7 linked regions of the Daphnia pulex genome follow. Each later gene encodes a partner of the first gene's protein in a complex. Links are inferred from orthologs where the notes say so. Each region holds a gene or a part of one and is shown on either strand. Other genes may lie near its edges. The genes, in order: U5 small nuclear ribonucleoprotein 40 kDa protein-like, G-patch domain and KOW motifs-containing protein-like, smad nuclear interacting protein 1-like, U4/U6.U5 tri-snRNP-associated protein 2-like, protein AAR2 homolog, pre-mRNA-splicing factor CWC22 homolog and pre-mRNA-splicing factor RBM22-like.

Region 1 (4,544 bases):
TTGTTAAAAGGTTCTTTTTCTTTTGGAAAAAATAAAACCGTTCGGGAAAATCGAGCGCAGAGGAATGTCTTGATTTGAACATCAGACGCCATATTTCCTTAAGGGGCTCATGGGAGACCCTCTCGATGGTGCTGATGCTAATGTCATCAACAGAACTCGAGAGACAAACACAAACAACTTAGCTGAAATTTTTTAAAACTACAAGAAAACAAAACTTCCACATCATTAAGTAATCTCTCTCTCTCTCCACAAAACGTTAGTTTAAAAAGAACGACAAAATAAAACAAAACCCAACAAAATGTGTCGTGACAAAATTGTGAGCCTGGAATCAAGGGTGTGGGAGTTTTATGATAGTCCAGATGTGTGAAAAGATCAATAAAAAGTGGTGGCATTCTTACCTTGGCAACCGATGATGCACTGTTGATGTTACTGCTAACCGAATGTGCAGCCAAAAAGGCGATGAAAATCGCCATATGTATTCTGGGATTCATTTTTGAGAGAATTTCCTGAGCGTTTGAGAGTCTGCCTTACGTGTGTGTGAGAGGGTGGAGAGAGAGATTTTTTCAGTATTATTTATTTTAAGAGCCGGATATCCGTTTCTAAAGTTTTCTTCCAAGATTTTTGTGTTATTTCAATACAAAAGTGGAGAACGTGGTCGAATAAATTAGGATAGTTGCAGCCTTTTGTCCGTTTTTCTAATTTTCTAAACACAGACGGTGATGCTCTCAGGTCAGGCTGGGCATTTTCTTTCTTTCTTTCACACTTCTTCTCTCTCACAGGCGCGCACTCAACCACACAGTTCACTGGTGAAGCCAAAACGATGGCCGAGTTTTACTCGTCGATTCGGGGACGGAATGTTAAATATCAACAGAACAAAAAGAGTTGCCGGGAATTGGCGTGATTTCGAGACACTTCTCGATGTAACCAAAGGCCGAAATGGATTAAAAGATCCCAACTCACGCCCAGATCATCAAACACACCAGCCGAGAGCCGCCATTAAACTGAAGGGACTGGATTTTTCTTTGTGTCCCTCCGCCGCCATTGGGTACCAAAAACTCTGCCATCTGGCGGCAGTTTTCAGCTCCTCCCCACTTTCTCCTCCAACAACATAGACGTGGAAATTATACGGACGAATGTAAACCACACACACGGGAAAGAAAAGGAAAAACAAAAATCAATCTCATCATTTCCTCATCATGTTGGGAAAAAATGAATGACTCAATTTAGGTCATGGATTCAGCGCTCAAAATATCTTCATCTCGAGAGACTAGTTTTGTTCTTTCCGACGCACCAAATTTCGTTGGAATGGAAAAGAAATCCCAGACATAGCGACTATCACATATACTGGTGAAGTCGTTTTCTTGCGAGTGTTAAAAAACTAGAAGGTCCTCTGTTCTATAGTCACACGGACACACAAAACTTAAGAAAATATCGAGGGGAGAGATTTAATGTTTGTTGTTTCTCCCTCCTTCTTCTAACACTCCTTTTCTTTTTTTACGATCGTGGGTTCGCCTGTTTTCCGGCCCCAATAATACCCATTGTTTTCCAAGACTGCGCGGGTGTTCATGAAATTCCTCGAGTTACAACTTCTTTTTCCCAAAAAAAGAAAGAGAAAAAGGGTTCGGAAATTCTTGAGCGATATACCACTGTGACAGCTTTTCCCCATCTCAATTTTTATTCTTTTATTATACCAAAGTCTTTCCAAGTTTCCAACAAGATTTGGAAAAGGCGACCACTATAAAATATAGATCTAGCAAGAAAAGGCTTCTGCTCCGTCAGTAGTAGTTGTCAAAACTTTTTCACTTTTTTTTTCTACAACTTGAAAATTTTCTTAAAAGTCTAGAAGCCGGAGCAATGGCGCTTGTGTCAGTAAACAATCCCAGCAATAATGAATTGGTGTCGGCCACCTCGGGTCAAGTGGCCCTGCAACAGGTTTGATTTATTTGTGTTTTATTTATAAACTTTTAAATGAGCCGAATGCATCACAAAAGAGAATTGCATCCAACCACATGCTGACCAGCTTGTGTGTTTTGTTGTTGTAGATGCTATGATGAATTCAAATGTGATATTGACTTTTTCAATAAACAGGGACCAGCAAGAACGTCTAGCCTCATGGCTCCTATAATGCTCCTGGCAGGACATCCTGGAGATATCTTTAGCCTGAAGTTCCATCCTGACGGCCAGTTTTTGGTTTCCACCGGGTTCGACAGACAAATATGTAAGCATCATATATACATTTGAGCATCTCTACTGTTTGGATAATCAACCTCTTGTTCAACAGTTTTGTGGAATGTTTATGGAGAGTGTGAAAACTTTGCTGTGTTGTCTGGTCACACCGGAGCAGTAATGGATCTTCAGCTGTCTACCGATGGTGATACCATTTACACTGCTAGTACAGACAAAACCATTTGTTTGTGGGACACCAGAACAGGAGCTAAAATCAAGAAACTGAAAGGTATACCATTGTCACTGTCCCATTATTTAGCAATTGAACCCAACAACAATTTGTTTCAACAGGCCACTCCTCCTTTGTCAATGCTATTCATCCTGCACGAAGAGGACCTCCTCTTCTCTGCAGCGCCTCAGATGACTGCAACATCAAAGTCTGGGATCCAAGAAAAAGAACCGAGACAGTATCATTAGATAATTCTTACCAAGCGACTTCCGTCACCTTCAACGATACCGCCGAACAAGTCATTTCCGCAGGCATCGACAACGATGTTAAGGTGAGTTCGCAAAATTCAATTGTTGTAATAGAGAGAGAGAGAGAGAGAAGAAAAACTATGGGACCAATTTCCAAGAATTTGAATTAAGCCACCGATTCGGCGAACTTCATATTCCGTGTGAGTGGGAGAAAGTCACAAACTTGAGTATTTTTCTTACAGAATTGATTAAAGTTCTCAGTATTTTTACTTGATGGCTTCAAGAGAATAGTTTGGCAAAAAAGGAAGGACCTGCAGTCATATTCTGTCTTTGTTGTAAAAACTAAAGTTTCGACATTGTTGATTGTTTTCTACTTAATATTGAACCATATTCGTGCAAGTTCTGTCTTACCCTATCATCGAGTTCATTTTCCTTGAAGAGTGCAAGGGATTTCAACTTTGGTATTCTGATTATCGCGTGTCTCACCTTGATAAGGTCACCAAGTCCTTCCTTACTTCCAGGGCCCCTTCTCTTTGATATATGAATGGGTTCACTAATGTAAGCTCGTAGGCGAAGTTTTTAAAATTAATTCAAGTAATTTCAGCAGTAGGGTCTCGTCAAATGTCCTAATTCCATCCTAATTACTGAAGATGCGCATTTTTGTGTTTTGTCAGTTTGAGGCAAATGTGAAACGCTGGAAGCGGATTCTGATACTTCTTTGCTTGTCAGATGGTTGCACATTATCGATCAAAACTTTTCCCCGTAATACTTATGACAATTTTGCGACATCTTTAGGAAGAATTTACTCTGAAAAATAGATAATTTTCACTTTTTATCGATTATCTTTTCGTTCGAACTAAACCCATGTTAAGTTTTCTCCTTTTTTTGGAAGATATTCATTTTAAAACCTGAAAAGTAGTTTTGCATTTGCGATATTTCAACTGGTCCTGGCCTTGAGCTATTCACGTGAATATGGAGAGATAGGTAAATCATACACTTTCCTTTTTAGGTCTGGGACTTGAGAAAAAATGCTCTCCTCTACTCCTTGAAGGGCCATTCCGACACTGTGACCGGCTTGACTCTCAGTCCTGATGGATCTTACGTGTTGTCAAACTCGATGGACAACTCTTTACGTGTCTGGGATGTACGACCTTTCGCTCCTCAAGAACGTTGTATCAAAATGATGGTTGGCCATGCTCACAACTTTGAAAAGGTATATACAATGCCGGCGAATTTCTCAATCCATTCTAATACCTTGTGTAATGTTATAGAATTTACTTCGCTGCTCATGGTCACCTGACGGAACCAAAGTTTCAGCGGGATCTGCCGACCGATTCGTTTACATTTGGGACACTACATCTCGCCGCATCATTTACAAATTACCTGGTCACAACGGAAGTGTCAATGACGTTGTATTTCATCCTAAGGAACCTATTGGTAATTTACGCAGCAAATCAACATCAAGGACATCAATTAATTTCAGATTTTTTATTTTGAATGAAACATAGTTGCATCCGGTGCCAGTGACAAGCTGATTTACCTAGGCGAAATTGACGCTTAATTAGGAAAGGTTATAATTTTTTTCAGTTGAAACGATGGCAAGGATCGAGGACGAATAAACAAATAATTCTTTTACGCATATTTACAAAATTGCATTTAAATTAATCGACATTTAAAGGCCAAAAAAAACTTAATTGGATTGTTTGCTCGTTCTCGAGTCCATTTAGAGATCATCACGTTAAGAAAATGCAATTATGAATGGAAAAACTAGGAAGAAAAGGTTAGCTAGGTACGAATAATGTTAACGGCACGTGAGAAAAATCAATGGATGAAGTGCCATCCTCTGATCAAGTGATGACTTGCGAGAAGGTGTTTCAAAAGTGTCTGAGTGCTATTGTTCT
Region 2 (4,287 bases), on another chromosome or scaffold:
AGCAGACCTTCATCGTTCGTTCGTTCGTTCGGACTTCGGCGGGAGTCATGAGAAATGACCGAGCGAAAAAAAGCCCCCCCACTGTCCCCCGTAGGGTGGTAGCCTATACGCTTTTCTCGTGAATTGATTGAGCTACGCTGTGTGGGTTCAGTGTACTCTGTACCGAAAAATATCGATGCAAAAATAAAGGGGAACACGCACGTGAAAGGTGTGTACCATTACCGTATTCCCCCTATAGCTCGTGTATTTTTACGATGCCGGTGTATACTTTAATAAATCCCATTGAAAACACACAAAGTTCTTGCCAGACTGACTGGCGCGCCTTGTACTTTCTCATCTCTTTTTCCACTTGAAAAATTTGCATTAGCGTAACGTATCATTAAAATGATAAGAGAGAGAGCTTTCGGCAAACATTTGCATAATGAGAGATTGCCACAGCTGTCTGGGTCACGTAGCAAATTATGTGAGAGGTGCAACAATGAAGACAAAAAGGGTGAAAATCGTTATGAAATTAAACACGAATAGCACATTTGTTTTTATTTAAAAACCAAGTCGAGTTATTTTGTGATTACAAGTTGCGCACATCTCCCGTGTATTCGCAAATGTCGTCGTAGTCTAGTTGGAAAACTTCATCGCGATCCGGTAGAATCTGGACGGTGGCCGTGTATCGTTCCTTGTCCCTTTCAATCACTTGGCAGACCTTTTTATTAAAAAATAAACAAGTTAACAAAAACAACATGTGTGTAAATTTCAGCTAACAACCTGTCCTTTTCGTTTGCCCTTGACGACCATGACGTAAGCGGGATCGCTACGCGGAATGACAGTTTCCAATTTAGAAATGTTGACGTTTTCCAAAAGTTTCCCGTTTTCGGCTTTGCAAATGCAATGATTCTTGGAAATCACGTCCACCACAACCATCTGGAATTCATACCAATCGGCGTGAGAGAAATTCATCTTTTATTTTTAGGACATTTTTATTTACTTTCTGTTTGTAGAATTGGCCGTCCTTGAATGAAGAATCGACGCAGCGGACTCGCAAGAGTGGGTGAAGCCAAGGTTCTCGTTTCTCGTCAGAACCTTTCGACGACCGATTTTTAGAACGAGATTCTTTCTTCTCATCACGGCGCTCCCGACTGCCACTCCGACGACTACCTTTTTTAAAATAAAAGGAAAAAATTATTATAGTGGAATTTCATTACAAACTGATTAATTAACAACGGGAAATTCTGACGGTACGGGCTGGGCGGCTGGCACGAGAACGCCAATGATAAATGTAGGAAAGCGTGACCTTGGGTAGGAGGAGCTAGACAGGACAATCTATCACTACTTACGATGGCTAGGACTATGCTTCCGTTTCTTTCTGCTCTCGCGATCATTTCTTTCCTTCTCGTTTCGCTCCTTGTCCTGTTTCGTTTTGTACTCGTCGTATTTTTCCTTGTCTGAGAATTAAAAGAAAGATGATTAATTTCAAGAAGAAATTTGGCTTGAAATAGATTTAATTTACTCAGAATCCTGGCGGAATCACGATATTCTTTAGCAGAAACTGGTTTCAGAAAGAGCTCGCTCATTTCCAATTCGTTGCTTCCGACAGCCATCCGCACCAGAGCACGACCAGTGTTTGCGTCCATGCTAAGAACCTGATGAAACAAATTTAGTTATAATTTAATGGCAGATTTTAATAGAATTTTTACTTACTTGTCCATATAAACCTTGATGTTTCCCGCTGAGCAACTGTACATTTGCACCGATAATCACTTTGAGCTCTTCTTCGCCTTCTTTTGGCTTTGTTAAAGCTTTAGCTGCATTTTCTAAAACAGTACGGTCAGCCCCAAGACCAAGTCCTTTAGGCCTAAGTTTCACCTCCATGGGAGCAGCCACTCTTGATTGAATAAAAGATAATTTGATGAGAATTCAGAACCATTAATTAATGTGAAATATGGCAATGATACCCTTTTCTAGAGAGACCGATACCCTCTGAGGCTTTCCAACCCATTCCTCTCAACATGGCCATTCCATAGGCTTCCACTGGGATCGCTTCATAATCATCAAGTGTGGACTAGAGAGAAATGTCAAGAGTTAATTACATAATTAAGGTGCAGTTGCGAAATTCAGTACCTGATCTGCACGGAGGGAAACATCTACTTTTTCATCTGTTTCAAAGCCAGATGGAACACGATTTTGCATAAATAGGGGGATATCAATGTTGGAGGGTACGCCATTGCCTCTGTTCTCCCAGCCATCAACAGCCTTCAGTGTTTCTTGCAGGATTTCTTTTTCGGCTTGCTTGTCCAAGTCTGATGCTTCTGTGTTCTCGGTTTTGGTATCACTGCCAGGGGTCCTCCACCGATTCTTTGTTATAAGAGGAATAACCAGTTCCTTTTTGGGTGCTTTTTTGATGGATCTAAATAGAATAATGCAGAAAATGAATGTAAAATTAATATTTTGTGGCGGGAAAAGCAACATACCCATTGATTTTGTTGTGCTCGACAGTTTTGACGAAATCAGTCTCTTCGCGAGTTTCTTGAGTCGTATCCAATAGTTTCGACTGAGTTAATTTCACGTTATCATGTTTCTTTTTTGAACTAAAGGCAAAAGACACACCAGGCTTGGTTTCCGACATAATGACACACGAATACGTTAATATCAAGGATTTCCTTTTCGCTCAGAAGATGTCTTTATGGAAACAACAAAAAAGGTGGGGAGACGCAAGCAGACGAACATTGAAAAATCAAATCAGACAACTGCCGTGCATTCTGCGGTGGTATTATAACTACGCGTAGCTTCTGCATAATTTTCGTGTAATTAAAATATCTAATTAATTCGCTAGGCGAAGGCGATGTTTCGTCGTTTTAATTAAATTGTCTGAAGGAAAAATTCAATTATGTTACTAGGCAACTGCAACTGATTTGATTTCATCCTGCCTGACGCTGATGCCGCCAGGCCACAGCCGCGGTTGCCTCTAGTGCCTACTTGACTTTGATTAAAATGTAACCGAGTACGTAATTAAAAGGAAATGGAGCACGAAGATGAGAAGATGATATCATGGGCTCATTTTGTAACTGCCTGTAGCGTCACGCAATGGAGATGCTCGCATCATATTGACAAAGTTGTAAGGCTTCATCAAAGAATTGAGGTCACTATATATTGATACTGATGCACGTAGACCATTGAAGTGACATAATCATGTGACACAATCAAGTATATTTATTTAATAAAATCGAACGACCGGGGCCTTGATTTTTTTGTAGGCTGGTTCCGAAATTGACCAATCGTAACCTTCGGTGTAATCTACCAGACACTCGCTAGATGTCTGCATCGGACGAGTCAAGCAGACGACAAAATAAAACTCTAGAACAAAAATATTTACGCATTTACGAGCATCGACGATATTTGTTCATTCCAAAACAACTACGTACTGCCATAGAGTGTTGGGTTTGATTTCGTCATTCACTCCTTCCTCTATGGTACTACTAACACAGTGCTGTGACATAATTCCAACCGTATGTTATTACAAAACACATTTATCCTGACCTGAAATTTATTTGTACCAAGTGTCTTGCTCCCATTTCTAGGAAAAATAGGGTTAAGGTTACTCGACAATTTGTTGCTTAACTTGGAATAGATTGGCTGTTTTCCCAAATAGTAGTTTATTTTTAAAAAAAGATTGATTTCATTTCGTTCAAGGTCTCCATGTAGCCACTGGCCCTATAAAAGGACAACCATTCGAGGTTGTATTAGTAGTAGAATAACCCCAAGAGACGATCTTTCTAGTCTGTAATTTTCCATTACGACGACGACATTTCAAATCTTTTACCAAATTCAGAAGGCCGGCAATTTAAATGTTTTAAAAGTTACCTCCAAGCGTTAAAAAAAGTCCCCGTATACAACAGGTAGTAAAAAAAGAAGAAGGGCGTCGATTTACCCTTTCTTTTCTCAATTAAAAGGGTCATTGACGTTTGTTAACCCCCCTTCGATTTAAAACGGTGAAAAAAAGAGGTCTTTTACGGTCAAGGTCATCGACTGTCGTCCGCCAAACCGAGGAACTGCGTTCGACTTGTTTGCCTTTTTCGCCAGTGCATTCTGAACAATGGTGCGACTCGTACGTCTTTTCTGCTTGTTCATCTCTTCTGCCACTTTTGGACTTGCCCAAGTTCAATCTCTTCCTCCGCCATGTCCAAGGTAAATTTCATCTATTTCTGTGTGTGTTGGCAATGATTAATCTTTTCGTGTTTCTCTCAATAGTCCCATTTACTGTCACGGTCCACTCTTGCACACGGTTCAGATGGC
Region 3 (3,258 bases), on another chromosome or scaffold:
AAGTACTTGAGCGAAATCAAGCTTGTCGACTGGTGAGACTAGTAAGCCTTGATCAGATACGTACTTTGTAACGCCATTCACTTGGGTTCCATTCAGCCATTTTGGAGAAAAAGGGTGTAGGGAAAGACATTGACCACCCTTCTTGATGTACTCTTCCAGCGGATCGTGCAAGTCATTATCAGACCATCGAGAAGCAAGTACTAGGAGGCTTGTGTTGCTTAGCCAAGCTTTTTTAGAACGAAATGAGAGTTCATCGAGATGGTAAAGGGCATAACTGTCAATCAATGTTACATTGTTTAAGATCAAGAATCCAGATATCAAATGTCTATACTGTTTATATACCAATCCGGCTCTAGTGTGGATTCAAAGAGGGCTCGATATTGCTGAAAAACTTCTTTGTCACTCGTACATATTAGAATGTTGGGCGGTCTTGCTGAGGAGGCCAGCAGTCGTTCCACAGGTCTCATGACACCAGCAATTTTGGTTACCTGTTACCAACTGGTTGTAAAAATTGCTTTAGTTATAAATTTGAATTAACGTGACAACTTACGAATAACATGAACAGCCCCACTGATGTGTGAAACCTGGAAATGAAATGAAAGAACACTTAAAGACGATTGAATACCTTTCGCAGAAACATTAAGTGTATTGCGGCGTTCAAAAAAGAAAATTGTTATGATACAAAACATTGCTGGTCACCAACGTGTCACTGCCCCACTCCCATATCGTCCAAACTAGCATCTGTTTTGCTTTCTTCATGAAGGAGAACATATTCGCGGGAACTGAAGCCAAACTTCACCACATCCTTCTCGAACAATTCGACGTAACGTTTGGATTCAATTTTTTGATTATTTACAAAAGTACCATTGGCTGCTTCCAGATCAATAATATATGGCCGGACAGTACGTCCTGCAGTTCCATCAGGCCGTTCGTAGTTTACCAACCGAAATTGGATCGCAGCGTGCTGTTTCGAGCAAGAGGGATGGTCGATTGGAATATCAGCAACTTTACGATCTCTTCCGATTAAGTAGGCGCTTTGACGGTGAAGGTACAACGTAGGCAATGCCTCTTCCCCTTTAAAGACGTAAAAACGCCACCGTCGCTTGGGAATTCTGGCTTCAGGTGGTTCACTGTATTTGACCACCACACCATTGAAAACATTCTTCTCTTCAGTCAATTTTCCTGATAGACCAAAGTTGGGTTTTTGCTTTTCAACGAGTGTTCCTTCTTCTTCTTCATCTTTAACTTGTTGGCCATACTGGTAGTTGGCTGCTTCAGCATCTTCACTTCGGGGGCTTTTGCGTCTCTGCTTAAAAGGTCTTGGTGGTCGATCTTCTGAATGTGGTTGCTCATGCCGTCTTGAAGGCCCTTCATTGTGTTGTGGACGTCTGAAACTTTGTTCATCATCACTAACTGGTTCTTTCTTGATTTTAACTGGAATTGGTGGGTCATTTCTTCGATTACTTTCTTTGTGTGAAACTTGTGAATCATGTCTCCTGCTGTCTGATTTCCGACTTCTTTCATAGTCATCACTTCTTGAATGGTAATGGTCGCTTCGTGAAGATTTTCGTGGTGGGGAAGAGTCACGTTCTTCACGACGTCTGTGAGTCTTGCCTCTTTCATGGCCTCGTTCGTGGGACCTTTTGGGACTCCTCTCGTCTTCGTTGTGCTTTACCATGGCGATCCAAACGAAATAAAACAAGATATGCACAAGTACTCTCTAATTACCTTAATGTTTCTGGCGTATTTCTCAAAAAAACGAGATCAATTCAATGTTTCAGTTTCAGTTTGATACAACTCGTTTCTCGGCTTGTCAACATGAAATGGTGTCGCAACTCGTAACCGTTGCCAGATTTACTTTCATCCACCACCTGTAAACGGCTAGCCGCTAGCGGTCCGCCGTCCGCGGACCTGCTCTCTGCTGCCTCACTGCCTGCTCTTTAATGTATTTATATTCTCATTTTTTTATGTAATGTTTTAGAAATTGAGTAATGCTTATGTATGCCAAATTGAGAATTTTTGTAATCGATTACAGCATAACATTTTCGAAATCAAAATTATGTTGTTAGAGAAGTATATTTTTCTTTTGCTCGTTGGGTCGTTGTAAAATATTTAAATAAATATTATCAAATATCTGATATTGTAATACATATTTACGTGGATTTAATAATTTTGCATTTGATTTAACGACGAAAACCAAATCGTTAAAATTTGATGTGGCACTCGCTGAGTCGCTGTTGAGTATAAAAAAGGAGGCCACGGTGTCATTCAGTCGTCGCGGTCTTTGTTCGATCCTTTTTGCCGTTGCGTTTTCATTTGTTGTCTGAGCTCTCGCACGATGACAAACCCCGAAAATCCTTCAGTTCCTCCCGAAGTTGTTCCAGAGTGGAACATAAAATTCAATCCTGTAGAAGTGAATGGAGACTTGAAAGAACACTTCACAAACTACGAGCAGCATGGACTGATGAAGAGCGAACCTGGTGGTTTTCTCTTAACGGATGAGTATGCACGCCATGCCAAAGAAATTTCACGTTTTCAACCAAGAAGCGACGACGTTTGGGTAGTAACCTTTCCAAAATGCGGTAAAATCCTTTTTCAATCATTTTTAAGATTTTTTTTATGTAATAGCTACATTTTTATAAAATAATAATTCGTAAAAATAAATATCCTAGTGGTATTTGTTTAGCAATTACTGCTATTACGTCACAATTTATTTCTTTGTCATCAATTTTTTTGGCCGTAGCCTTGAAAGTCTAGTAGCCAAATGGCAACCTTGTATTTCTCCCCGCCTATTTTAAAACACATAGTTTGAAACAAACAAATACAAATCTCTCGGATCTTGAAAGTGTTAACTTTTCGTATTCTCCCGCACATATAAAATTGATAACTTTGAATTTGTTTACTTAGGAACGACGTGGACACAGGAATTAGTGTGGATGATTCTCAACAATTGTGATCCAATTGGATCTAAGGCACCACTAATAGTTCGGTCACCCTTTCTAGAGTATGTCAGTTGTTGGGATGTCATTGAGAGCTTTAACAAGACATTTCCGTTTTCGGTTTATGAACTATATGGACTCTTTAAGGTTCCCATACATGATTGGTAGCTGTCTTCCACCAGAGCACAGCAAAATGCTGATTACACTTGATAAGGTTGAGCAAATGCCTTCACCAAGAGTTATTAAAAGCCATCTGCCATTTTATCTTCTTAATCCGAAGTTATTGGATACTTGCAAGGAAATCTAGTTCCCTTAATCA
Region 4 (4,083 bases), on another chromosome or scaffold:
GCCCTGCAGCTGCCGCCCTAAACTCCCCTTTTTCCTTCTTTGATCCTTTGTACTTTTTCCCCGACTGATCACTTTTTTCTTGTTCCCGCACACACACCTCGTTTATTCGCGACAAAGCTAAAAAAAAAGGCCCACCAATTGTTTCTCCTAATTTTTTTTCGTCCTTCCAACTTTTGGCCGTTTTCCAATTTTTTGTAGCATAAAATAAAAATCACCCCACCGCTGCTCACCGCAAAAAAATAAGCTATTTGAATTCGATCGAATGCTGGTCTGATTTTTGAAGAAACTTTGTGCGAGTGTATGTAAGGGAAAAAGAGTAGCAAACGAGCGGAATTCATGAAGGACAATTTGATTGCGCGGTGTGAATCTAATTTTTCACTACGACCCTTTATTTTTTCATCCCTTCTGTCCTCTTTGGGGGTTGTCTCTTACGTGTTTGTTTCAAGATTTCTTTATTTTGCTCTGCATTCTCAAACCCACTTCTTCTCTCTTAATTAAACAAATCACTCCTTTTTCCCTGTTTTGCCACACAACATCGTTTGGAGCAAGATAAATGAAACAAAAAAAAACGAAATAAGTTGTGTATTATTGCATCTTGTGTAATCAAACATGGTTCGTTTTCCTCGCGACGTGGTGTGTTAATTTTATTCAATCCAATAAGAAGTCTCACATTAATGCTTTAGTACGAATTTGAATATTTATTTCAACTCGGGTTTTACACTTTTGACAGAAATTTCAGTTGGACATTTCAACGTCGCTTCTTTCCGTAGATTGTTCCCATATCTAAAATGTTTGAACATTTTAAATGGGACATAATAACGTTTTATTGTATTTTTTTTTCTACCTGAATGTAAGCTTCTGTGAGAGTGATCATCTGCGGAAGAATTTCTGTCACGTGCAGATCTTGCATTTCAAACCATTTTCCTGTCGCCTAATAGAAGCAATTGACTCGTGAAGTTTATTGTGATTATTGGTCAACAATAAAACGAATTTACCTTATGAAGTATGTGAACACGATAAGTTCCCTTGGTTGGTTCTCCATCATGTACAATATTGGCTAACAGATCGTATGTGGTACATCCGTGTTTGGCGCGAACATCTGCACCTAGAATATCGCCAAAATCCACACCCCTAAAAGCACATCTCAATTTTGTAACAGTCAACAAAAAATGGTGTGGTAATTTTATTTACCTGATGGGGAAGTTTATGATGGTGGGATTCTTTTCTATGAAAAACGTGTTCTTCGTGAATCTCTTGATGTTGAGAATAATGTAACGTGGCAGTTTTGTCAATTCGAATCTCTTCAAAAAATTTTCCTTGTAGGTCTTGTATTCCTTTTGCTGGACTCCATTGAATTGAGACAGCAATGCAAACAGAGATACCTGAAAAATCAACAAAAGACTCGATCTAGCTTTTAATTAATGCTACAAGCTAATTGATTTTGGCAAACCTGTGGAATGATGTTTTCGCGAAATTCATCTTTGAACAGAGGAGGGGGAGGCAAGTCGGCTGCCAGAAAAAGGAAAGGCGAATCGACAAATGTTTCGACGTATTCGGCAGTCAACATCAGTGCATCCTTTTCTGTATCAGTGGCATCGATGGGTGGGATTCGCTGAGAATGAATTTTCATTGCTCCCAAAAAAGATTTGTAGATGATTGAAGAAGTTGGCTTCTTGGTACCGTTTAATGCCAGATGCAACGCGTTTAAAAACCACGAAAGAAATTCCACTGGATCACCTGAAATATGGAAAATGAAGAATTAGCAAGGTAAAATTTTAATAACAATTCTCATAATTTAATATTACCCTGGCTTGTAATTTGGAATTTCTTTTTACTGCACAGAACGACAGCCTGGAGCATCTCGTGGGGGGAAACGTGAGCCTTAAAGTTGCGTGGATTCCAAAGCTTACGAATCAATTCACCAAAACGCTGAACTAAGATGACGTTATTGTCTCCAGGAGGACGCTTGATACCAATGTAGTTCTCTTCCCTGAGAAAGTAATCGCGTAGTGGAACAACATGAGATAAAGCCTAATACAAAAGTAAGTAAAGTTTATTATTTTAATTTATAGTTTACTACTTCATTACCTGTAGGACTACATTGCAGTAATCATTAGCTTTGATGTTATTGAGTCCAACTACTCCAGGACGGTAAAGAGTACCATCACAAGACCTAGATACTTTATCAATGACATCCAACACTGCAATATTTGCTTTTTTGAATGTTGGATTCAAGACATATTTGATATCATCGAGTGATGAATCAATGATTTCATAGTTGTCTGGCAGACAATAGAATCTTAGGGTGTGAAGGTTCAAAAAAACATGATGTCCCTCTCCCACACTGTGAAGATATGCATGTGTGCTGGGGCCTCTTCCTAGAATTCATTTGAAACAATTTAAAATATGTGAATATTGCTGTTTAACTTCAAATTTACCTTGAAAGTATTTCCCACACACCAAACATGCATAGACATTAATCCTTGTGAGCGAGACTGAACAGAGTTTTTCAAAATCAAAATCCAAAACTGTCCTGTTTATTGTGTCCAAATAAGGACACAAACGAGATTTGGCAATTGGTTCTCCTAGAATTTTTATCAGTAAAAGTTGTTACACGGATTGCACTATATTTATTATTTGGTTTTGTGGATAGTGACAACAATACTTGTTTTCACGACGGGTTCGTCTTCATCATCGAAATCTTCATGTTTGCGCTTTATATCACTCTTTTCCGTCCCCATTTTTGAAAAGATATTTACCCCAAGAGCCAAAATTGACAGCTTTTCTTATTGTTTAAGAATTAAGGAAACTCGAATGCAGAGTTACGGAAAGGATAGCAGACACATAAAACGAATGCAACGCGTTAATGCCGGTAAACGAAAAAGTAGAATTATTGTCCTGTAGATGGCGTGAACTACTTCATTCAAATCTTGTAACGCGATTCAAAATTTCGTTTGATTATCATGGTCATGCGTCAAGTAAATAATTATTTGTACAAGATGGGGCTACTATTTTTTATCGTTTGAATTACTATCCTGATAACTAACTAAAAAACCCTTATTTTGTGTCTGGTAACGCTGTTGGGTCTTGGGTGTTGTGTAATCATCTCAAAGTTTAGAGTTTGTCTCGAATTTGTTTGGATGTATTATCAGAACTCTGTTTACCTTGATTAACTTATGTCAACAGAAGTCTATATTTTGAAAGCGATATTCATGGTTCAGATAATGATGTTCAGCATAGTGTAGATTTTTTCTGCCTGGATACAAATTGCTTACTTGAACCATAAACCCGGAAACAAGCAATTTCCGGGTTTCTAAAAATCAACTAAGCAATTGGTGAATTAGAATTTCGTAATTCATTTTCAATAGAATGTTTTTTTTTGTATAAGTTCGTCCTTCGAAGGTGTACAAAAATATAATCATTGGGTAATTTTGTTTGCCCTTTGATTTTAGCACGCAATACGGATTATCAGATTAGTCAAATCAAGTTCGATGTCACAATCATAATCTTTGAAAAACCCATTTATATCACTTTCTAATCAAGAAGTGATCGATTGCCCAATCATTGATAGACCAATAATTTTTGTATAAATTGGTCGTGTGCAGTTTGCATTTTCTGTTTCTCAAAAGGACACGGTTTCTTTCTTTAACTTTAAACTGAAATTGTGTTCGTTCGTCATGAAAGTGGTTGGCATTTTCGCTTTGCTCTGCCTTTTTACCCTTTCCAATGGTTTGCTCATATTTGTTACTCGTTCCTTGATTGGGTTGATTCTAAATTTCTAACGACCATAATTTTTAATTTTGTCATTACTTTTGGTAGGTGCTGGAATTCGACGCCCCGTTTCTGGAAAAGGCGAGCCGCTTCTTCGTCTTTCCTTTCCGGCCTCTGAACATTTGATGAATCGTGCTCGAAGTGGGGAAGCAGGAAATGCCAATGAATACATGGACGAGGTATTTGTAATATAATTCAATTTCGTTCTTTGATTTACTGAATTTTGTCTTTTTAAAAACATTTTATATTTTAGGTTTTGGCTTTAGTTCGCGAGCAGATAGTCCTGCTAGGATACGACCGTATTCAGCTTCC
Region 5 (3,603 bases), on another chromosome or scaffold:
AACGACTTGATAGCTGTCTATGCCATAGTCTGTGTCTCTGTGTCTGATACTCTGATTGTCGCTCAGTCTATCTTTTATTTATATAATGGATTACATCTCAAATATCTTTAGTAGTCCTTTAGGAAGTAAGAATGTTTAGTGTTTAAGACTTACATAAAAATTTGTACATAAAATGAGATTTTTATTTATCTTATCTTTTGTATTTAAATTTCAGTTCGAGATTTGGTATGCTCAGCATCTCTTGGGGTTGCTGCTGTTGGTATATCACTTTTCATCTATGCCAAAGTAACAGGCACTGGATTTTGTAAAAAGAAGTGTGATAAAAAGGTATGGATTCTCAATATATTTTGACTTTAGAAGATAATAATCTGAAGTTTAATTTCTTATACAATTCTTTATACAGGGCAGTGTGGTTAATCAGAGTATTAAAAAGGGTGATTCAAAAGTAGTTGACACTTTTGACTTAGAAGACATAGGGGACAAGAAAGTATTCTGCCGATGCTGGCGTAGTGCTTCGGTAAGGAACTTATTATGGATCAAATTAATTTATCTTATATAACTTTTATCCTTTCCTAGTTTCCCTACTGTGATGGTTCACACAACAAGCATAATACAGAGACTGGTGATAATGTTGGCCCACTAATTGTTGGAAAGAAAAGCAACTGAACAAGCAATCTACCATGTGGTAGTTACTGCCCATCTCTTTAGTAGTTTTTCATATATTTAGTTATTATTACTACTGGTTTTCAGCTTGTAAACACATTACACATGTATTGAGGAATTGAGGAAATTTGTGTACAGTATATCATGGTTGAAGTGGTTGAAGTATCAATTTTCTCTTAATATTATTACATACTTTCATCCAACTCAACTAGTACTGGTGCTTCATCATTTGGTTCAACATCAAAATCCCATTGAAACCTCTGTGTTACAAATTGCTTCAACTGTGAGGCTCTTCTTTTAAGCTGTCTGTCAACAGCATCATTTTCCAAAATATTTCCAAACAAAACTCTTAAAGTTTGAATGAGGAAGTTTTCTGATGAGATTATGTCAACAAAAAAATCTGGAGATACTTCTTGCATCTAAAAAACAATATATTTTAATTAATAATTTTAGTTGAAAATTGTGTTTTCTAATGTCATCACCTGAAAATAGATATCCCCAATGAACTCCACAATTAATGATGGATTTTTCAACAGAATCTCATCAGCAAAACAAAAAATACGAATCACGTTCTTCCAGTGTTCAAAAGCACTGTAAACTTGTCCTATCAAAAAACACAAAAACGCCATTTGAAGTTCAGCAAGCATTTGATTGGGTCTAAACAAGAAAATAATTTATTATTAAATACAGCAAACTATTTGGTATTTTTTACGTTCCGAAAAATAAATATTAAAAAAATGCCGACCTTTCCCAAGTTGACAGCATTTGTTCCAGTAAATAAGATGTGTCAATGCTATGTTTAGTGATTTCCATGGCACTTGATCCTACTGGATAGAAATCAACAGGGACTTTGGTAAAATTTAACGCTGTGCCTGGCTTTGGTTGCATGTGCGGTAGTAATTCATCTTCATAATTTGACCTCTTTATTCTTTTTTCTTTCACTGGAGATTCTGCTGGTGCTGGTACATCTTCTGATGAAATTAATTCTGTAACTGATGAAATCTTTTGCTGAAGGGGTTCCACTTTCCCAACTACATCAGCTAAATATTAATTGTTAGACATTTTATTTTTGTACAGATTACATAATGTATAAGAAAATATACTTGTCAATTTACTGCTGAGAGACATCCATTTCTTCCAGGTATCAAATGGATATGGACCCAAGTGCTGATCAAGATTTTTTAAATTGGCTTTTAAACTTTCTCTTTCTTCATCAGTACCTATTATGGATAAACACTAAATAATAAATTAATATTAAATAATGATTTATAAAATAAAATTACAATCGTTGATGACATCTTCTATTTCTGGGTTCCACTTACGGACCACAACTTCCTTCTTATTGAAGTTGTAAAAGAAACCTGTTCTTGGCGCTACGGAACCTTCCTTGCTTACAGAGCTAGAAATTATATAAAAATATACAATCACATTTTGTACCTCACAGTGAATGTTACACTCACACAACTGTTCTAACAAAAAATAACTTATTTGCCTGTAATAAATATAGTGAATTCCAGGGGGTATCATTTTTATGCCTTTGAATTTTTCGCCGGTTCTCCAACTGTTGAAATCTATTCCTACTTCAGTCCCAATTGGTACGCCAAGAAGAAATAAAAACGCGCCCTCTTCAAATAATTTGTTAGCCAATTTTTGATCCATTCTTTCCGTGTTTGACACTTGATGGTTTATATTTTAAAACAGAATGAAGCTGAGTGAATGAAACCACGCAAAAGCAATGAACGAACAATACTAGCAGACGACAGTTTAAAAACAAACAACATGGAGGTCAGACGTCAGATCAGTACCGGATGCCGACTTGCCGAGTTAAATTCTAGCAATTTTGCATAAAAAAAGGGAATAAAATTAACATGAAGAAGGATAGGAGAAGAAAGTGATAAAATAAAAAATTTTATGTGTTGAAGCCTGCCATTCAATCTTAATCATGCCTTATTAGTTAATTTGCCCTTTTTCAATTTATTTCAACTTTCAAGTCGAAATTCTTTCTAGATGATTCATGAAAATAATTAAAATATTCCGCAAACAGAACAGCCAATTAATCTAACCAAAAAATTTTTACTGGTCATTTTCTACGGTTCTGAAATAAAGGTTTAAACTCATTTCCGGCATTTGAAAAGCAATACCTTTTGTTTAGCTTTCTCGTGTATTTCCGTTTGTAAACCAATTCAAATAAACTTTGTTCATTTTAAATAAATCGTCTTAATTTGAAAAATAATATGTTTATATGTCTAATTCTTCCCGTGTGGCCGGGTCGATCTCCTACCGATTTTCGTCACCAAACAATTTGACAACGTCTTAAATTAGCAATAGGGCACTCGTATAGCGTGAAAACTTTCCGTCTTCTCTATTTGGCTTTAAAGTTACCATCTATTATACGAAAATCTTATTTTATACTCGTTGTTTGTTCAACAAATTGATGCGAAATGGCAGGCTTACCTAGAAGGATAATCAAGGTAACACAAATCTTAATTGTAGACTTGCATCAAAGTGGGAGGCAACGTGTTTTTTTCTCCCGATCCTATTATGGGACCGGTAGTATTCTCTAGCAATATAGTATATTCGTCATTAATTTGATCAATAGGAAACTCAACGTTTGATGGCTGAGCCTGTCCCAGGCATTAGTGCAGTTCCAGATGAACAAAATGCTCGTTATTTCCATGTTGTGGTTGCAGGTCTGTAAACTTAAATTGCAACCTTAAAGTGTCATTCTGGTACTGACTAGTTCATATTGATTAAAATTCATAGGTCCAGAAGGTTCTCCATTTGAAGGTGGTGTTTTCAAATTGGAACTATTTTTGCCTGAAGAGTACCCAATGTCTGCACCTAAAGTGCGATTCATGACAAAGATTTATCACCCTAATATTGATAAACTTGGCCGAATTTGTCTTGATATTCTGAAAGGTGATTATTTTTATTACTTTA
Region 6 (4,383 bases), on another chromosome or scaffold:
TCCCGAAGTTCGTCTCTACATAATTGAAACGTCCCATCCAACGCAACACAAAATTATTAATTAATCTTAAAGAATCTATCAACGAGATAGAAAAACTTACGTCAACCCTCCTAGACCGATGGAAGTAAAGAAATTAATGGCAAATCGAGTGTTGCGAGGATCATCGCGAGGGAAAACTCCTTCAAAATACGGTTGCAAAGTCCTAAAACGAAAATATTAAAAAAATTAAATTGGTGACGTATAACCAAACAAGATGTTTAAAAAATAGTTGGTGCACTGACGGGTCTTTGAGGCGAAGATTTAGCTTGCTGAGACCCATGTACTCTGCCATTTCTTGAAATAAAATTTTAAGAAATATTCTCGAAGAGCTTGTAGTATCTTCTTCAGTTAGTCGAATGTTAGCCATCACTTGCCAACTGATGGCATCTGTGAAAAGTAAATGGGCAAACATTTTGGCTACATTGCGAAGCTTGTTAGTATCCAGCCGATGAATTGTGTCGTATGTATCATGAAATATTTGCTCGAATGGTGGTATGTATGCCTTATTAATCTGGCAAAATCTCTAATACACCGAAAAGAAAATTGATATACTTGAATAGTTTTTTATTTAATAAGAAATCGTACCTGGGCTAAAAGGCCGAAAAATTTTTCATACGTCCTTTGTTGGGTGCAGCAATCCAAGATCATATGGCATAACTCAGTTTCTTGTCCAGGTTTCATTTGCATTTTCATCATTTTATGGGCACATTCATTGTGATCTAAACTGCTCTGAATAGTAAGGTAAATAACGCGTCGAAGAGCAATAAGGTTTGTCTCCGTCTCGTCAACAATATCGCCTTGTTCTAAAAAAACAAAATTAAAAACATACAAATTGAATCGACCCAAGTAAAAGTATATGCTATTCTTACCTTTTGCTTCCTCCTCCGAAGCACTATCTCCATCAGATTCATCATTTTCTTCTCCAGAACCGTCTGATTCGCCCGAATTATCTCCAATAATTTCTGTTTTGACAGCTTGGTACTTTTCTTCGTTGGCTTCATAATCCGGGTCGTGCTTGAAAACATCTACAAAAATACGCGAAACAGTTAGTGGTATCAAAGTGGAGATAGACATATAAAATCTACTATTAACAGTTTAAGAAAAGCACGGAACTTGGGGCTCATTACAGTCAAAGATTATTTTAAAAATAAATAAAAATTTAAGCCCAGTAAACTAACTTGGTAGATTGAGGAATACAGATATTTTTTAAATCCATTAATAGCAACTTATTACTCAACATATCCTGGGGATCCAATTCTTCTTCTTGTATCGACATCAAATGAGTGAATTGATCTTCTTCTTCCACCAAATCCAAATCTTCCACGATAGCAGGGTTGTCCTTAAAGCCATCCTTTCGTACTTGAAACATTACTTCAATCATGTACTTCACGCGTTTGTCTAAGTCAGCTTCGTGTAAAACATGACGGAGGCGATCGAAGACAGCAGTTAATCCTCGAGGGGAGACTTCACCTAACTTTTGACCACATTCTTTCAAAAATCCAACCGCGACTTCAACTGAATCATCAGTTGCATTTTCTAACAGAAGAGTTAAAATTTCTAGAGCCAAAAGCTCATGTGCCTAAAATACCAAGAAAAATTTTCAGTGCATTTGAAAAACAAAACATGAGAGCAAAATTTCAATATTACCACTTGTTGGTTCACCAGATGTGCTATGAATCTTGTCGAACTCATACATATTTGTTTGTCATTTCGACGAAACCCACGGCGAAATTGAAGAATAAGGCGAGATAATAGCAGTTCACCTATGTTAGGAAACTGAAACATCAACAAATGTGATGTGAATTAAATTAAATACATGAATTAATATAAATCACGTTTATACTTTGGAATTGATTAATGCAGCAAGGGCTGCATAGACATGTGTAAATGTTGGTGATGCAGCTTGTGCCTGAATGATGGACCTAGTTAGAAGACCACGTCCCCTAACAATATTTTCTTTGAACAAGGATGTTATAATCAATGGGATATTTGACACATTGACTTTATTGATTAATCCATGAATGGATTTTTTGAGAGCCTCCCAAGATAAACGCTGAAAAGCTAAGCTTGACTTGTCAGTTATTTGGGCTTGCATCATTCTTAACTTGGCAGGAGGAATGTAAGCTCCTCCGGTTCGTGTCAGCACTGGATCCATTTCTTTAACTCTCTTAGGCTCTTTAGTATCCTCTTCATTTAAAGGACCTTGTTCACTAGTTTTTCTGTCATCCTTTTTCAATTGATTTTCTCTTTTTCTTGAATGTTGATCTTGTTCTCTTGAATGTTGTGTGTAGTTATCTCTAGGGCCTTCATCTCCCCAATAGCGTGTGCCTATTTCATAGTTTTTTTTCCTGATAAAAAAATGAATATGAAGTAAATTAATTTGTTACTTGTAACACTTTTGGTACAGTTGTCTACCTTTCTCTTCTGTATTCCTCCTCTGAACTATACCGTCGTTTCCGAATATTGCTATCGGGCTTTGCTGGAGCTTTTTCGTCTCGTTCATCTTCCAAATCATCGTCGACTTCTTCTAAGAAATTTACGGGTAAACCAACAGCTTTGACGACACTTTCCATCTGAAGGATTATTGTGACAGATGAAGGGAAATTAATTTGAAAATATCACTTAACAGATGTTATACTGTTTGGATGAATAGAAAATTGCAATCGCAACACGCTGAGAAACAACTGCTTTTTTACGTTTGCTTCCTTGGCTTAATGCCTATTGCCATATTGCGGTATTGCCGTTTGCTTACAATTCTACCACTAATGCGCCACCTGCGTTTGGGCAGCTTGTTCGATTTCATTGGTTGTCGGCTTGTCGCCTTATGCCTTATCGGGTTTATCGCAAAGGCAGGCAAAGAGACAAACGTGACAAAAAATAAGAATTAAGAATCTTCTTGTAATCAACCACTTCCTCATTAATGAAAATTTGTTTAAAATTTATTGGAAAAGGAATAATTGAATAAATATTCTGCCCCGAGCAGCGAGCAACCATCAAATACTTTTTGGACTTTTTCGATAACTTGTTTAAATTGTTTATCAGCTTTGTGGCAGCGTTAAGCGCTGAGCCTTCTCAGGTCTTCGTATTTCGTGTAGAATTTTTAAAATAGTTACTGGTGAAATCAGAGTTATAAAGGATCGTTAAAAGAATAATTATTTCAATTTTTGAAATATTTTCGCATGTTTTCGCTAGTCCTGCGAGTTCCTAGTTTTAAAATAGGTATTACTAACCGCTATGAAACAATAAAAACAGGCAGCCACGAAGATTTGTTAAAGAGATTTCATACTTTCAATTGAAATTATGTGGTAAAAAATCATTAAGCATTTTTTCTAAAAGTCGAATCCGTCTGAAACCACTGTTTAGAGGAATGAATGAGCTGGCAACATGTCAAAGATGTCAGCGCCCACGGTTTAATAGGGAGGGCGCATTTGACAAGGGGCCTGCCTACCGCTAACATTTGTTTGCCACTCCTCCATGCAGTTTATCCTATGTGTATAGAAGAATTTCAAAAAGCTCCGCGAAGGAGTTCGTGCCTCTTGTGATCGTAGTAAGATAACAAAAAAACAAAAAAAAAAATGCGCAGAGTGCTTGGGATACACTCATCGTGCATCGTGATATGTTCTAATTTTGTATTTGTTTCCTCTTCAGATAAACAATAAAAATTTTAAAACGCCGGAGAGAAGACGTCATGGACGTCGAAGACGAAAATATCAGCACGTTAATGGCCATGGGATTTCCGGACATCGGAGAAATCAAACGAGCTTTACGTTTAGCCAAGAATGATCTAAATGAAGCAGTTGCTATCCTCACCAATGATCAGTCAGTGTCATCTTATGGACCTGTTGCTGACTTAAACATCGATGTTGACATGAAAGAGGTAGCTGGTGTTTCCAAAGGATCCAGCGAAGATGCTTCCGTGTCTGAAGTAAAGCCTATTTCATCTATTATGTCAATGTAAAGCATTTTTCAACACTTACATTTTTATCTCTTAGAGTGGAAATGATGGCTTCCCTGAAACCCACCTGTATGAATTAGAGTCTAGAGTATTTACAGATCAATGGTCTATTCCTTATAAAAAGGATGAAAGTTTGCATAAATGCTTAGCAGCTGCGACAAAACTAATAGAAGAAGGTGGGTTATATCTTGTGAATTTTGTGTTTTTCTATTACACACATTAATTTTTAATCCAATTAAGGTGTTTGGGAGAATGATGAAAACATGCAGAGGTTTTTGAATAAATGCATGCCAGAGGCATTCAGAAAGTTGTTAAATTCTGGAGCAGTGCAGAGGTGGAACTCTGAAATTCAAAAAGGAATCTATAATATGCTGGAGCTATTCATAGAT
Region 7 (4,352 bases), on another chromosome or scaffold:
GCAAATGATCTTGAGATAAACGGCCGATGCAATAACGACGCGGTATTGAGAATAGGGGATGGCGCAAAAAAATAAAAAAAATAATAAAACATACTATAAATAAGAGAAAAAAAAAATATCTCCCAATCATACTATAGCTGGGAAAAATTTACTTTTCGAGTTATTCACGTTGAAAGTTTCGACTACGTGGCCCACCTCTAAAACGCAGGAGGTGGCCTATTTATCACGTGATTCTTGGTGCATTACCGCTGGTCAGTTTTAACCAATGAGAATAGATCACGTGATCGGGGGAACCAATAGAAGCGGGGAACATCTGTCATTTCGTCTGTGTCCGCAAGGTGTCGCGTCAAGCTTGTAGCAATCTAGTTTTTTTACCGCCATGTGGTAAAAGAATGAAAAGTTGTTTTCAGGGATACGCATTCTATTGGCTGTTGCCGGTCACGTGATCTGCTCCCATTGTAAAAACTGACCAGAGCTAAGCTAAAACTGGCAGAGCCAGGGAGTCGAAACTTTAAACGTGAATAACTCGTAAAGTAAATTTTTCCCAGCTATAGTTTGATTGGGAGATATTTTTTATTTATTTTTTCTCTTATTTTTAATATGTTTTATTATTTTTTTAATTTTTTGCGCCATCCCCTATTCAGACAGCATGGAGCCGGAGGAAACCGTTTACTTTCTAAAATTCTAAAAAATGAAGTAAGTTAACAGTTCATTATAAATTAAAATGTTCTCTTACCTTGCATGTAGCTATATGAGTTGGGGGCTGGCAATAACATATGTTCTTTTCTCTTGAAAGACCATAACCTTTCGGCATCCGATAATGGCTTATGCGGTGGCTACTCAAGCTGAAGATTGACGTAAAGGTCTGAAATTACAAAAAAAATTATAATTGAAATATGTAAGAGTGGATGATTAAATAGTTACCTTCCCACAATAATCACATGCGAGAATGGGTGAGTTGGGACAAACTTCAACGCTGGAACTAGGAATTTGACCCAATACTCCCTCAGCCTGATTGTCCTGAAATTTAAAACATGAACATGAATTAGAAAATCATACCCCAGGTAAAAGCATTGTGGATTGCAGATTGCAGGACTTCTTTCCCCTCGATCAACAATGCTATTCACCTAGGGAAGATTGCTGTTGGCAGCTGAGGGTTGGTGGGTGGCTCGACTTCCATGATTTAGAAGGAACTGTGTATATAAATCAAAGTTTACCAAACTTACCTCTAGCGTAGTCTTCTTCAGTTTTTTTACACACATAGACAGGTTCTTTAGTCGCCTGTTAAGCTTCAGGCTGGCCATGGTAGTTCCAATTTTCTTCAACTTCTGGATTTCTTTTGCTAAAGGTAAGTTTGAATGAGGTTAAGAATGAGTTATTACTTTAAAAAATAATGTTACTTACCATCTTTGTTTAGTTTATCCACCCTTTTCTCTATCTCGCCTAAATCCTGGGTAAAATTTGATTCCAGTATTTGGATTGGTATTGGTATTGGTAGGATTAGGTGCGTCTGCTATGTTTAGCAGACATCTGGTCTTCAACTAGATGACCTTCTTGCACCGACGAGATATTTTTTCTATTGATTTTTTTGAGCGATGGCGTGAGCAGTGTAAGTGTTGTATTGTATTGTGTGGAAGGAGCCCCAAGAAGGGGGATGGAAGTACCATCATTGTGTACGATTTGGCGCTAGTGCCTGCCTTTTTAGGAAGAGATCTGTATTGTATGTGTAGTGGTAGTGCCCGGGTATGGGAGCAACTATGCTCACCGGGAGAGTCGAACTCAGGTCTCAAGGTGCTCCCCGATCACCAAGCGACGCCTTATCCAGCTCACCTACCCGCCCCCCCCCCCCCCCAGTATTTGGATATCCATGTCAATTCAGAGTTCAGACGTCAAAAACAAACACTTAAGGAAAAAGGATTGTTTATCGATATTTAACTTTAAATCGATATCCATTGTTTATTTATAATATTTAATTACTTTATGTTATGGAAATTTTTTACAATTCTATTTAAATTATTACACACATTTATTAATTTAAATAAAAATTGTCATAAATTTCCATAAAATGAAGTAAGTAAACAATATATATCGATCCAAGTTAGTATCGATACCGAGACAGACCGATTTTAAAGTTATCGTGTGGTCCTTTGGGGCATCAGATTTTACGTTTCAAAATGGCGCTGTCGAAATCATCAAACACTTATGGACGTACAAGTTGGGAAGATTCGGTAATATTATACTATTTTGATAGTTTAAAATTGAGACTGATACTAACCAGTGAATTAATTTAATATAATTTAGGAGTTTCCAATTCTCTGCCCAACATGTCTAGGAGACAACCCTTACGTTCGAATGGTGAATGAAACTTAACTTAAAAATGCATACGTTAACTATGTTTTTCGTAATTCTTATTCGTAATTCGGTTCCCCTAATTTTTTTTAGATGAAGGAAAAATTTGGCAGTGAATGTAAGATTTGTGTCAGACCTTTCACAACCTTCAGATGGTGCCCTGGTGCCCGTATGCGCTTCAAGAAAACAGAAATTTGTCAGACTTGTGCAAAACTTAAAAATGTCTGCCAGACTTGCTTATTAGATCTTGAATATGGACTTCCCATTCAAGTCAGAGACCAAGCACTTAACATTAAAGACAATATTGCAAAATCTGATGTGAACAAAGAATATTTTATTCAAAATGCTGAGAAACAAGTAAGTTGAATGCTGCTTTGAAATGAATTTTTTACATTCATGCATTTTTATTGTTGACAGCTTTCTGCAACAGATCATGGTGTACCTGGAGCTGCTGGTGGTCCAGGAAAATCTCATCCTCCATCAGATCTTCTGATGAAATTGGCACGCACAGCACCATATTATCGTAGGAACTTGCCACACATTTGTTCTTTCTGGGTGAAAGGTGAATGCAAAAGAGGAGAAGAATGTCCTTACCGTCATGAAAAACCCACTGATCCAGATGATCCATTGGCTGATCAGAACATTAAAGATCGTTATTATGGCACCAATGATCCAGTGGCAGAAAAGCTCATGCGTCGGGCTGCCACTCTTCCTCGTTTGGATGCTCCTGAAGATAAGTCCATTACCACTTTGTATGTGGGTAACATTGGAGAGAAGATGTTGGAAAAAGAACTACGAGATCATTTTTATCAGTACGGTGAAATTCGATCCATCACTATCGTTTCACGACAGCAATGTGCTTTTGTAACATACGTCACCCGCTCAGCTGCAGAATTGGCTGCCGAAGGAACCTTTAACAAACTAATTATTCAGGTACGGACCTTTTACTTTCTGGTTTCAATTCCCCAAAACTTATTCAAATTATTTGAAAATTTAGAATCGGCGGCTTGTTATTCGTTGGGGTAAATCTCAAGGCAAACAGAATGTTCCTGGAACAACAAATACTGAAGCTGGAGCTCGTTTTGAACCTGTTCCGGGTCTTCCCCGAGCTTTGCCACATCCTGAAGAATTGGAGCATAACTTTTTCAATTTAGCTCCTACAAGCAATGCATACCCATCTCCTTATCCTCAATATCCACCATCCACATATCCATTGATCGCTCCACCACCACCAAACCCCACACCAAATCAGGCGGAACTTCCAGTATTTCTTGCCGAAAGTCAGCAGGGCATCCATTACCCTTCTCAGGATCCGACTCGTCTTGGCGCGATTAATAAGACACGACAAACATAACGACAGAAATTTTCAGAATTACGATATGCTTGTCTGTAATTTTTGTATTTCCGTTTTTGAAATTTAAACTCTCACGATAAAATGTCCTGTAATTTATTTTATTTAATATCTATAAGTTTTTTTGCATATAAGGTTTTGCGCTATAAATTGGCTGTTTTTGATGTGAAGTGCTGAATGATTTTTTCAGCCGACGATACACAACCATCGAAGTTCGAATGAGTAAATCCATCCCCACCAACTAGCAGAAGAGGTTCCTGGGAGATCTCAAGTACACCCGGCTGATCTTCATACGGTTTCGTTACCTTAAAAGCAAATAAAATAAAAAGGTAAAATTTGCAAGCACACAGAAATGAAAAAGGGTTAGTGAGAACCTGGGAGTATCTCCATTTATGGCATTTAAATGCCTTTGGTGAAGGTAGATCGGGGAAAGATCGTTTTAAAGCCTTAATCAAAATGTAAAATTCAAAATATAATCTCGGACATTTTAAAACAAAATGTTATAATGCATAATTTACCTCTTTTAGAATAGGTTCCGCTTCTGGGACGGTTAGATCAATATGTTGTACACCGAAGGGGACAGATGTGTGAAGAATCACAGATGTTGGGACGTCAGCTGGATTAACAATATGAGTTGGTAACGTTCGATTCA

Evidence for each region.
Region 2: U5 small nuclear ribonucleoprotein 40 kDa protein-like (region 1) and G-patch domain and KOW motifs-containing protein-like share a complex: the UniProt entries of both Homo sapiens proteins name them as parts of the minor spliceosome. The link is inferred for Daphnia pulex from reciprocal best matches to the Homo sapiens genes SNRNP40 and GPKOW.
Region 3: U5 small nuclear ribonucleoprotein 40 kDa protein-like (region 1) and smad nuclear interacting protein 1-like share a complex: the UniProt entries of both Homo sapiens proteins name them as parts of the minor spliceosome. The link is inferred for Daphnia pulex from reciprocal best matches to the Homo sapiens genes SNRNP40 and SNIP1.
Region 4: U5 small nuclear ribonucleoprotein 40 kDa protein-like (region 1) and U4/U6.U5 tri-snRNP-associated protein 2-like share a complex: the UniProt entries of both Homo sapiens proteins name them as parts of the U4/U6-U5 tri-snRNP complex. The link is inferred for Daphnia pulex from reciprocal best matches to the Homo sapiens genes SNRNP40 and USP39.
Region 5: U5 small nuclear ribonucleoprotein 40 kDa protein-like (region 1) and protein AAR2 homolog share a complex: the UniProt entries of both Homo sapiens proteins name them as parts of the U5 snRNP complex. The link is inferred for Daphnia pulex from reciprocal best matches to the Homo sapiens genes SNRNP40 and AAR2.
Region 6: U5 small nuclear ribonucleoprotein 40 kDa protein-like (region 1) and pre-mRNA-splicing factor CWC22 homolog share a complex: the UniProt entries of both Homo sapiens proteins name them as parts of the minor spliceosome. The link is inferred for Daphnia pulex from reciprocal best matches to the Homo sapiens genes SNRNP40 and CWC22.
Region 7: U5 small nuclear ribonucleoprotein 40 kDa protein-like (region 1) and pre-mRNA-splicing factor RBM22-like share a complex: the UniProt entries of both Homo sapiens proteins name them as parts of the postcatalytic spliceosome P complex. The link is inferred for Daphnia pulex from reciprocal best matches to the Homo sapiens genes SNRNP40 and RBM22.

Annotation. Positions count from the first base shown.
Region 1 is NC_060027.1:3,204,235-3,208,778, reverse strand, and holds U5 small nuclear ribonucleoprotein 40 kDa protein-like, read left to right. Parts: upstream 1-1,511; 5' UTR 1,512-1,854; coding exon 1,855-1,932; intron 1,933-2,088; coding exon 2,089-2,218; intron 2,219-2,281; coding exon 2,282-2,455; intron 2,456-2,517; coding exon 2,518-2,726; intron 2,727-3,652; coding exon 3,653-3,856; intron 3,857-3,914; coding exon 3,915-4,080; intron 4,081-4,151; coding exon 4,152-4,204; 3' UTR 4,205-4,284; downstream 4,285-4,544. Other genes in the region: syndecan-like, read right to left, coding at 399-491. UniProt on the Homo sapiens protein: Required for pre-mRNA splicing as component of the activated spliceosome. Component of the U5 small nuclear ribonucleoprotein (snRNP) complex and the U4/U6-U5 tri-snRNP complex, building blocks of the spliceosome.
Region 2 is NC_060019.1:137,321-141,607, forward strand, and holds G-patch domain and KOW motifs-containing protein-like, read right to left. Parts: upstream 2,718-4,287; 5' UTR 2,621-2,717; coding exon 2,466-2,620; intron 2,402-2,465; coding exon 2,116-2,401; intron 2,057-2,115; coding exon 1,950-2,056; intron 1,880-1,949; coding exon 1,696-1,879; intron 1,638-1,695; coding exon 1,505-1,637; intron 1,440-1,504; coding exon 1,332-1,439; intron 1,153-1,331; coding exon 983-1,152; intron 919-982; coding exon 763-918; intron 701-762; coding exon 569-700; 3' UTR 511-568; downstream 1-510. Other genes in the region: trehalase-like, read left to right, coding at 4,088-4,179, 4,243-4,287. UniProt on the Homo sapiens protein: RNA-binding protein involved in pre-mRNA splicing. As a component of the minor spliceosome, involved in the splicing of U12-type introns in pre-mRNAs.
Region 3 is NC_060018.1:419,526-422,783, forward strand, and holds smad nuclear interacting protein 1-like, read right to left. Parts: upstream 1,735-3,258; 5' UTR 1,679-1,734; coding exon 707-1,678; 3' UTR 623-706; downstream 1-622. Other genes in the region: biotin--protein ligase-like, read right to left, coding at 1-274, 343-488, 551-559; sulfotransferase 1B1-like, read left to right, coding at 2,339-2,582, 2,908-3,004, 3,087-3,237. UniProt on the Homo sapiens protein: Required for pre-mRNA splicing as component of the spliceosome. As a component of the minor spliceosome, involved in the splicing of U12-type introns in pre-mRNAs. Down-regulates NF-kappa-B signaling by competing with RELA for CREBBP/EP300 binding.
Region 4 is NC_060025.1:1,779,267-1,783,349, reverse strand, and holds U4/U6.U5 tri-snRNP-associated protein 2-like, read right to left. Parts: upstream 2,873-4,083; 5' UTR 2,742-2,872; coding exon 2,666-2,741; intron 2,586-2,665; coding exon 2,439-2,585; intron 2,379-2,438; coding exon 2,089-2,378; intron 2,032-2,088; coding exon 1,806-2,031; intron 1,738-1,805; coding exon 1,451-1,737; intron 1,383-1,450; coding exon 1,192-1,382; intron 1,132-1,191; coding exon 996-1,131; intron 932-995; coding exon 845-931; intron 784-844; coding exon 736-783; 3' UTR 679-735; downstream 1-678. Other genes in the region: uncharacterized protein LOC124202306, read left to right, coding at 3,678-3,729, 3,820-3,950, 4,025-4,083.
Region 5 is NC_060019.1:11,511,509-11,515,111, forward strand, and holds protein AAR2 homolog, read right to left. Parts: upstream 2,445-3,603; 5' UTR 2,323-2,444; coding exon 2,156-2,322; intron 2,063-2,155; coding exon 1,947-2,062; intron 1,884-1,946; coding exon 1,767-1,883; intron 1,704-1,766; coding exon 1,409-1,703; intron 1,321-1,408; coding exon 1,146-1,320; intron 1,083-1,145; coding exon 849-1,082; 3' UTR 744-848; downstream 1-743. Other genes in the region: CDGSH iron-sulfur domain-containing protein 1-like, read left to right, coding at 86-125, 215-327, 404-517, 577-666; ubiquitin-conjugating enzyme E2 N, read left to right, coding at 3,105-3,134, 3,263-3,353, 3,427-3,582. UniProt on the Homo sapiens protein: Component of the U5 snRNP complex that is required for spliceosome assembly and for pre-mRNA splicing.
Region 6 is NC_060018.1:7,249,137-7,253,519, reverse strand, and holds the start of pre-mRNA-splicing factor CWC22 homolog, read right to left. Parts: upstream 2,807-4,383; 5' UTR 2,678-2,806; exon of another isoform or gene 2,613-2,677; coding exon 2,455-2,612; intron 2,388-2,454; coding exon 1,883-2,387; intron 1,816-1,882; coding exon 1,687-1,815; intron 1,619-1,686; coding exon 1,273-1,618; intron 1,065-1,272; coding exon 625-1,064; intron 563-624; coding exon 282-562; intron 203-281; coding exon 101-202; intron 16-100; coding exon 1-15. Other genes in the region: ubiquitin carboxyl-terminal hydrolase 24-like, read left to right, coding at 3,728-3,964, 4,032-4,170, 4,235-4,383. UniProt on the Homo sapiens protein: Required for pre-mRNA splicing as component of the spliceosome. As a component of the minor spliceosome, involved in the splicing of U12-type introns in pre-mRNAs. Promotes exon-junction complex (EJC) assembly.
Region 7 is NC_060024.1:7,163,253-7,167,604, forward strand, and holds pre-mRNA-splicing factor RBM22-like, read left to right. Parts: upstream 1-1,304; 5' UTR 1,305-1,348; intron 1,349-1,404; exon of another isoform or gene 1,405-1,424; intron 1,425-2,080; exon of another isoform or gene 2,081-2,098; 5' UTR 2,099-2,174; coding exon 2,175-2,228; intron 2,229-2,301; coding exon 2,302-2,355; intron 2,356-2,442; coding exon 2,443-2,706; intron 2,707-2,766; coding exon 2,767-3,282; intron 3,283-3,346; coding exon 3,347-3,703; 3' UTR 3,704-3,785; downstream 3,786-4,352. Other genes in the region: uncharacterized protein LOC124200920, read right to left, coding at 737-865, 925-1,020, 1,227-1,304; renalase-like, read right to left, coding at 3,844-4,005, 4,075-4,146, 4,219-4,316. UniProt on the Homo sapiens protein: Required for pre-mRNA splicing as component of the activated spliceosome. Involved in the first step of pre-mRNA splicing.